Linked DNA regions of Drosophila melanogaster. The protein of the gene in region 2 interacts with the protein of the main gene of each other region in a biochemical or structural test. Each region holds a gene or a part of one and is shown on either strand. Other genes may lie near its edges.

What was found.
Region 1: the proteins of Ssrp (region 2) and HP1c form a complex in vitro, tested with the Drosophila melanogaster proteins (one study listed by BioGRID).

The regions. Positions count from the first base shown.
Region 1 is NT_033777.3:22,743,437-22,747,149, forward strand, and holds HP1c (heterochromatin protein 1c), read left to right. Parts: upstream 1-2,183; 5' UTR 2,184-2,280; coding exon 2,281-2,994; 3' UTR 2,995-3,063; downstream 3,064-3,713. Other genes in the region: vret (vreteno), read right to left, coding at 1-118, 175-359, 422-1,238, 1,304-1,714, 1,778-2,088; CG17141 (uncharacterized protein), read right to left, coding at 3,064-3,713.
Region 2 is NT_033778.4:23,805,605-23,810,582, reverse strand, and holds Ssrp (structure specific recognition protein), read left to right. Parts: upstream 1-1,578; 5' UTR 1,579-1,719; coding exon 1,720-1,773; intron 1,774-1,850; coding exon 1,851-3,422; intron 3,423-3,482; coding exon 3,483-4,028; 3' UTR 4,029-4,222; downstream 4,223-4,978. Other genes in the region: CG5543 (uncharacterized protein), read right to left, coding at 1-1,224; CG5539 (uncharacterized protein), read right to left, coding at 4,754-4,978; CG13561 (uncharacterized protein), read left to right, coding at 4,334-4,387, 4,448-4,603. UniProt on the Drosophila melanogaster protein: Component of the FACT complex, a general chromatin factor that acts to reorganize nucleosomes. The FACT complex is involved in multiple processes that require DNA as a template such as mRNA elongation, DNA replication and DNA repair.

The DNA.
Region 1 (3,713 bases), on a different chromosome or scaffold from region 2:
TGGCACTATGTTTCCGTAGTCAATGAACAAAATGCTGGGATAACCATCTCCTACTAACTCCACAGAGAGACCTCGACGCCATTTGCCTTCGTACTTAGCTATGCAAAGCTCATTTATCCTAAATGAAAGAGCGCTTTAGTTAAATGGACAAAAGAAAACGGCGAGTAACTTTACGGCGGTGCGTAGGTTGCGCACTTGGCAATCTTTTCACCATACTCCTGTATGTCTCGCTGCATTTTGGTGACTTCGTAAGCCAGATCTATGGAGGTGCAGTAGATAAAGCCGCACTGGATGAATGTGTTGTCCATTACCACTACATTTATGTTCTTTCCGCAGTGCAAGGGAATGTATGGAAGACACTGAAACCGAATAAATGCAAATGACAACTGTGTACTTGATGTTTTTTTAAGTTCTGGCTTACGTCCTCTTTGTATCCCAAGTCCGAGACAGACGGCTCAACAGGAGTTAGGATGGTCTTGAAAAGGCGGTTGAGGCTCCTATTAATATCGATCTCGGTCATCACCACGACCTGCATGCCCTTGCTGGTATCGTACTCACGTGACGAGTACTTGATATTAAAAACTAGGGACTGGTCGAGTTCGTACATGACTTCCCTTATGTTGGGACCCACAAAGCGCCTGGGAACTCCGCGTAATTTAACGGCTACGGGATAGCAGGTCAAACCAGCTAAATACGAACTGCATTCATACAGTCTTTCCAGCTGCGTGACTTCAACACTTCCGAAATCAATGAACACTACATAGATTTCCTTGATATTATCCACGTTTAGCACCATGGCGCGCGACATATGTCCCTCGAACTTGTAGAGCACAATTTGTCCGCAGACTGGCGTACTCTGCAGTTTGGAGGCATCTTTGCCCAGCATCATTACCTCCGTGAGAACTGTATAATAGGCGATGTCAATCTGAATGTCCGCCGAGCGCACATAGACCACGTTAGTCTGCTCGAATGCAGTAATTCTCACTTTAGATCCAGACGGCGGCAAGCCGGGTTTGGGGTACTTCCGGCCCACCTTTTCGTCAAGGTTAAGTATCTCACCCTTGCCGCAAGCTTGCTTATGCTGCTCTGCCACATCGGCGAAACAGGAGGCATTGCAGAAGGGCATTTTGCACAGCTTGCAGAAAGTGTCTGTCCAGTTTTGACAAACCACGCACTTGCTGACGCCGTCTTCCAGCAGGCTTTTAGTTTTATCCTCTTCGGTGACAGCAACCGTTGACCTGAGTGATGCAGAAACTATACTCGTTAGCTAATCAAGGGCACGTGACCAGGTGGCTATACTAACAAAGGAATCGTTCTGCCCGAACGAAAGTGCAGAACGACCTGCGGGATTCTGGTCTCATCCTTAAGCTTGTAGATATCATGGCGCTCCAGTGCGAATTCGTACTTTACATTGAGATAGCGTTGAATGGGGTCGTTGGTGGCCAACAATGAACCTCTTTTGTAATCATCTTTGGTGACCAGCGGTGGCCGGAAGAACTCCGGATGATTTTGTCCTCCGGTCGAGATCGGAACCTCTCTGTTGTGATTCACTGGCGTACGTTCAGTGGCCGAAATTGCTGGGCCTGGTGTTGGCATTGGCTCAGTGGAAGTCACCGGATCGCTGGTGATTTCCCGCTCCTTTTGCGGGCGACCAGTGATGCACTTGATCAGGTTCGGGTAACGCTGCACCCGCTGTTGCGCTGTCTCCAGGGATCTGGAAAAAGGATTATACGCTCGAAATATTGAATGACCTGCGAAAGTGCTTGAAGAAACTCACGCGATATTTTCAAAGTAGACAAAGTATACGCGTGACAAGCGGCGGAACTCCATCTCCTTGATGAGCGCCCGACCGAAGAAGTTGATTAGCATCTTTTCGGTCACATAGGGACTGCTTTTTGGAACCACCAAGTATGGATACTTCGCCTGCCTGGTGGCACGTTGCTCCTTTTCGTCCTTTGGCGGCAGCGGGGCTTCCATGATTAGTTTCTGGCCAGACTCGTTAGTGTAACGGTTGCCCACTTGGTCATAGTATTCCCTGGACATTGGATCGAATGCGGACCAATCATCCTGCGAGGATTCGGATTCCATTGCACCTGAGCTTTAAAATTTCACCTGAATTCGAATTGCAAGCGCGTGCGAGTGTGACCGTTTTCTATGCTGTCAGAAGTATGTTGCTATTGTAACTGTTGTTGAAGTCAGCAAACGGTCACACTGGCACTAGTGAAAAAAACCAAGCCGATTTTAAATATTGTAAACAATCTTGTAAAAACACAATAAAAAATGGTTAAAAACGAGCCCAACTTCGTGGTGGAGCGCATCATGGACAAGCGCATTACCAGCGAAGGCAAGGTTGAGTACTACATCAAGTGGCGTGGCTACACGTCGGCGGACAACACCTGGGAGCCCGAGGAGAACTGCGATTGCCCGAATCTCATCCAGAAATTCGAGGAGTCGCGCGCCAAGTCCAAGAAGCGCGGCGAGAAGAAACCCAAGTGCGAAGAGATCCAGAAGCTGCGCGGCTACGAGCGCGGCTTGGAGCTGGCCGAGATCGTGGGCGCAACGGATGTGACGGGCGACATCAAGTATCTGGTGCGCTGGCAGTTCTGCGACGAGTTCGACTTGGTGCCATCGGCACAGATCGTGGAGAAGGATCCGCAAATGCTGATTGACTATTTCCAGAAGATGGCACCTTACTCCCGTCACATTGCGATGCGAATGAAGGGCGTGCCGGAGGAGCTGCGTTTGGCGGCCTCGCGCACCAGTTATCCGCACATTAGCAGTGCGCCCGTCGAAGTGCCGCCGGAGGTGGATCAGTCCGCTGAGTTGGCTGGACATCTTGGTGGAATCGCGCCACAGGTGGACCAGGCGCCGCAGCACCATGCACCCATGGATCTAGCCAATGATACCGACGATTTGGCTAGTGTTTCGTACTCGATTCCCGTGCCCGGCGTTGGCGACATTGCCATCGATGTGCCCATGGCGGAAAATCAATAAGGACGCGAGCAGAATCGACTGTTCAGTCTTTAATCTAAGCCCCTAAGTTTAATTCATACATATGTATAGCTATCTGAAACCACTGGGTTCGTCCAGATTCATGTGACCCAACTGGCCGGAGCGAAAGAAGTGAATGAACTTTCGCGCGGCCGCCAATAAATTTGTCATCACCTCCACGCGTCCGTCGTACTGCTTGACCTTGTGGAATAGCTCCTCCCGATGAGCGTACTCCGCCAGCACGGCGCTGATGTCGTCACTGGGTCCGGAGCTGAGCTTTAGCATCTCCACGTAGTCGTATTTGCGGTGGCTATTCAGCCAGTACAGCAGATAGTCGGCTATCAGATCCTCGCCCACAATATGATCGGGAAGGCAGCCCACCAGGGCCAGTTTCATGCCCATTTCATCATCCTTAATGGAGGGCTGGAGGATGCCGGGTGTGTCGATCATGTAAACAGGCGGATTCTCTTGGATTTTGATGCGTTCGCCGACGGATCGAGTTATACCCGCCTCGGCACCCACGCGTGCGGCGCTCTTCTTCTTGAGATGCACATTTCGCAGCACATTGATCACGGAACTCTTGCCCACATTGGGCACGCCGATGATCATCAGATTGTGCTCGGCAGCTTGGGTGCGATTGAAGCGACTGCTCTCGCTCACGAGGCGCGTTGCCAGGGGCAGGATGTCCAGCACGCCGTTGTTGCGCTGATCCTTGCAGTTGG
Region 2 (4,978 bases):
CAGATCCCAAAGCTTCATGGTCTCGTCGTTGCTGCGAGTGGCCAACTGCTGACCCATGTACGAGAACACAATGGAGGTGATCTCCGAACCCTTCTGATGCGCATCCCTGACGCAGTGCGTGGTGTTCACAAACATCTTGCGCGTGTCCCACGTCTGAATGGAACCATCCACGCAGCCCGCTGCTATGAGTGTGGCGTCCCTGTTAAAGTTGCATGATGCTGCGTTGGTGCGGAGGCCTCCCTGCGCCCTTGTCTTGATCACCTGCAACTGTTCCTTGGACTTCAATCCCTGCCAGATGCGCAGAGTACCGTCGAGAGCTGCGGTCAGGAACTGCTCCCTGTTAAATGGATGCCAGCAGCCGGAGGTCAACTGTGCCACGTGGCCCTTGGTGCGCGACATGTCCGAGATATACTGGTCGCCCTTGCAGCACTCCAGTTTCTCGAATCCATCGCGGTCGAGGACCTTGGCCTGGGCGTTTCCGGAGATGACCAGGATCATGTCGCCGGTCACGGAGTACTGGAGAGAACGTATGGGATGGTTCTCGCACGGCTGCAGTTGCCGGAAGCTACGCATGCTCGAGTCCATGCCGGCGAAATCCCAGAAGCACATATCGTAGTCTATGGAACCAGAGACCAAGCGGGCACCCGAGGGATCGCCAGCCAGGGCAAGGACAGCGCGGGAACCGTGCTGCATCTGCACCTCGTGTGTGTAGGGTATGCGCTTAGCAAGGCTTTGTTCGTCATCTGAATCTTCATCGGACGAATAATCATCGTCATCGGAGTCTTCGTCTTTGGACGATTCCTTCGTGGCTTTCTCCTTGTCTGTGGTCACAGCTGGTGGTAGGGGACCTATTACGTCCTCCTCTTCCTCGTCTTTCTGGTCATCCTCCTTCGGCTTGGACTCCTCCCTTTTTTTGTCCATTCCCGGGCGGGTAACTCTCGCCTTTTCTATCTGCTCGTTGATGTCGAACACCTTGGCCGCCTTGCGACCAAAGCCACTGATGCCCATCACTTCCTTGAGGTGCTGGCTCTCCAGATCTTCGGCCACGTCCTCGATCTGCCGAATCATCTGCTCCTTGTCCATTTTCTTGAATCCTCCGCCATTTCCGCTGGCTTCAGTGGACTCCTTTGCATCTTCCGCCTCGGTTTCGTTGGATCTTGGCTCCGCAGGAGGTACGTTTACATTCAGTTTGATTTTCCCGAAGGAAATTTTACCGCGTTGCATAGTTTTAAGGCCCCACGCTAAGTGGATTTTCAAATTTTTAATTAAAACTATATTTCTCTGAAAATATGCGGTAAATATTTTGTAAACAAGTGAATTAAGTGACCGTTTATATTCGGACTGTCAATTTGGTATTTTAAAAGATCGAGCGAATTGTTATGGTCTTTAAATAAGCTCTGGCTTGCCCATTAAAATTTTTCAATTTAATAATGACTCATATATTGTTCATGTATTGCAAACAAGATATATATAAACAATAAAGGAAACTGCATTGGAATATTAAGAGTTTATATCGATTGCAATTTAAGAATAGTGCACTCAAAAATACTAAACACACATACGGTCACTCTAATATAGCTGACTGGCGTCTAACCTAAAATTAGGCGCGCAGTGTTGTTTTGTGTCTGCCGGAATTATTGTAAATTGGTGACAATTTCGCAAGGCGGCGTAATACATAGTTGATCTATTATCTTGTTACTGGAGAGGAAGAAGTGCAGGATGACAGACTCTCTGGAGTACAACGACATAAACGCCGAAGTGCGCGGAGTCTTGGTGAGTCGCAAAAAAGCCGGCGTATTTTGTCACATTTCGCATGACCGAGGTTTTCCATTTCCCTGCGCGCAAAAAAGTGTTCCGGACGCCTAAAGATGACCGAGCAGAACATCATCTTCAAGAACACCAAGACCGGCAAGGTGGAGCAGATCTCGGCAGAGGACATAGACCTGATCAATTCGCAGAAGTTCGTGGGCACCTGGGGACTGAGGGTGTTCACCAAAGGCGGCGTGCTCCACCGCTTCACCGGATTCCGCGACAGCGAGCACGAGAAGCTGGGCAAGTTTATCAAGGCTGCCTACTCGCAGGAGATGGTCGAGAAGGAGATGTGCGTCAAGGGCTGGAACTGGGGCACCGCCCGCTTCATGGGCTCCGTCCTGAGCTTCGACAAGGAGTCGAAGACCATCTTCGAGGTGCCGCTGTCGCACGTTTCGCAGTGCGTGACCGGCAAGAACGAGGTCACCCTGGAGTTCCACCAAAACGACGATGCGCCCGTGGGTCTACTGGAGATGCGGTTCCACATACCCGCCGTGGAGTCGGCCGAGGAGGATCCGGTAGACAAGTTCCACCAGAACGTAATGAGCAAGGCCTCGGTCATCTCGGCTTCGGGCGAGTCCATCGCCATTTTCAGAGAGATCCAGATCCTCACGCCTCGCGGTCGCTATGACATCAAGATCTTCTCGACCTTCTTCCAGCTGCACGGCAAGACGTTCGACTACAAGATTCCCATGGACTCGGTGCTGCGGCTCTTCATGCTGCCCCACAAAGACAGTCGACAGATGTTCTTTGTGCTCTCCTTGGATCCGCCCATCAAGCAGGGACAAACGCGTTACCACTACCTGGTCCTGCTGTTTGCTCCCGATGAGGAGACCACCATTGAGCTGCCATTCTCGGAAGCCGAGTTGCGAGACAAGTACGAGGGCAAGCTGGAGAAAGAGATCTCCGGGCCGGTGTACGAGGTGATGGGCAAAGTGATGAAGGTGCTGATCGGTCGAAAAATTACCGGACCCGGTAACTTTATCGGACACTCTGGCACGGCTGCAGTGGGCTGCTCGTTCAAGGCTGCAGCTGGATATCTGTATCCCCTGGAGCGAGGATTCATCTATATCCACAAGCCACCGCTGCATATCCGCTTTGAGGAGATTAGTTCTGTGAACTTTGCCCGCAGCGGCGGATCCACGCGATCTTTCGACTTCGAAGTGACGCTCAAGAACGGAACTGTTCACATCTTCTCCTCCATCGAGAAGGAGGAGTATGCCAAGCTCTTCGACTACATCACACAGAAGAAGTTGCATGTCAGCAACATGGGCAAGGACAAGAGCGGCTACAAGGACGTGGACTTTGGTGATTCGGACAACGAGAACGAACCAGATGCCTATCTGGCTCGCCTCAAGGCTGAGGCGAGGGAAAAGGAGGAGGACGACGACGATGGCGACTCGGATGAAGAGTCCACGGATGAGGACTTCAAGCCCAACGAGAACGAGTCCGATGTGGCCGAGGAGTATGACAGCAACGTGGAGAGTGATTCGGACGATGACAGCGATGCTAGTGGCGGCGGAGGCGACAGCGACGGCGCCAAGAAAAAGAAGGAGAAGAAGTCCGAGAAGAAAGAGAAAAAGGAGAAAAAACACAAGGAGAAGGAGAGAACAGTGAGTAATGTTTGCTTATTATTATAGCTTATGGTAACATGTTTTTATATGTTTTTATAGAAGAAACCCTCCAAGAAGAAGAAGGACTCTGGCAAACCCAAGCGCGCCACCACCGCTTTCATGCTCTGGCTGAACGACACGCGCGAGAGCATCAAGAGGGAAAATCCGGGCATAAAGGTTACCGAGATCGCCAAGAAGGGCGGCGAGATGTGGAAGGAGCTGAAGGACAAGTCCAAGTGGGAGGATGCGGCGGCCAAGGACAAGCAGCGCTACCACGACGAGATGCGCAACTACAAGCCTGAAGCGGGCGGTGACAGCGACAACGAGAAGGGTGGAAAGTCCTCCAAGAAGCGCAAGACGGAGCCTTCTCCATCCAAGAAGGCGAATACCTCGGGCAGCGGCTTCAAGAGCAAGGAGTACATTTCGGACGACGACTCCACCAGCTCCGACGACGAGAAGGACAACGAGCCTGCCAAGAAGAAGAGCAAGCCCCCATCCGACGGCGATGCCAAGAAGAAAAAGGCCAAGAGCGAGAGCGAACCGGAGGAGAGCGAGGAGGACAGCAATGCCAGCGATGAGGATGAGGAAGATGAGGCCAGTGATTAGGGCCATAAACACAACAAATCAATTCCATAAACACACACCACGCTCCTCACACACCCATGTCCCAAATCTAGTTTACATTCGCCTAGTTTAGTTAAGTGCTGCCTGTTGGATACAGACCCATACGTTTTTGTTTAATTAAAACTCAACAACAATTCGAAAGTTCAAGTAATTAAACAGAATTGATAATTGCCCGTAATGATTGATATCTATCGATTATGGTTTCGCTTGACTGGCTTTTGCCACTTTCGTCAACATTATAATGCCACAGTTTGCCAGTTTTTAATGGCTCTTTGGTGAACTTAGTGATGGCCACGTTGACAGAGTTATTCCTCTTGTTTGGGCTGTGGCACATTTTGCAGGCAAGTTCGACCGTAAGCTAGGCCGGCTGGGATTATGAACCGAACACTAGCTCACTTCAGGTCCAAGGAGTTGCCAAGTTCACAAACATCGAGTGCCTGAGTGCGGACGAAAACTTCACCACCGTTTCCCTGTGCCGATTGTACGCCGTAAAGAGGGATGTCGTCGAAATGAGTCTGCGGGCCAACATCCTGCGATGGCCAAAAGGTCCGGTATCGGTGAGTTAGTTTGCAAAGCTAGGGCGTTCCTGAATGCCATAGTTGAATAGCTATCTATAGTAGAAAATGCGAGTCCAAAACACTAGTAATTAAACAACTTGAAACCTATCCATGCCTAAAACCAATTTATGTTTTGAATTAATGAAATAACTATAAACCTGTTTGAGGTTTCACAAATGATTGTGCTAAAAGACGGCGACGGCTGGCCGGTTGACGCTGCTGACGCACTTCCTGGCCGCTGGTCTCCATCGCCGTCTTGGCCAGCAGATCCTCCACATCGTCATGGAGGTCCTCCAGCTTGGTGGCGGAGGCAATAGCAATGGCATTCTTGAACTTGCGCTGAGGTCGGCGATTAATTATCCTGGGTGATTCCGA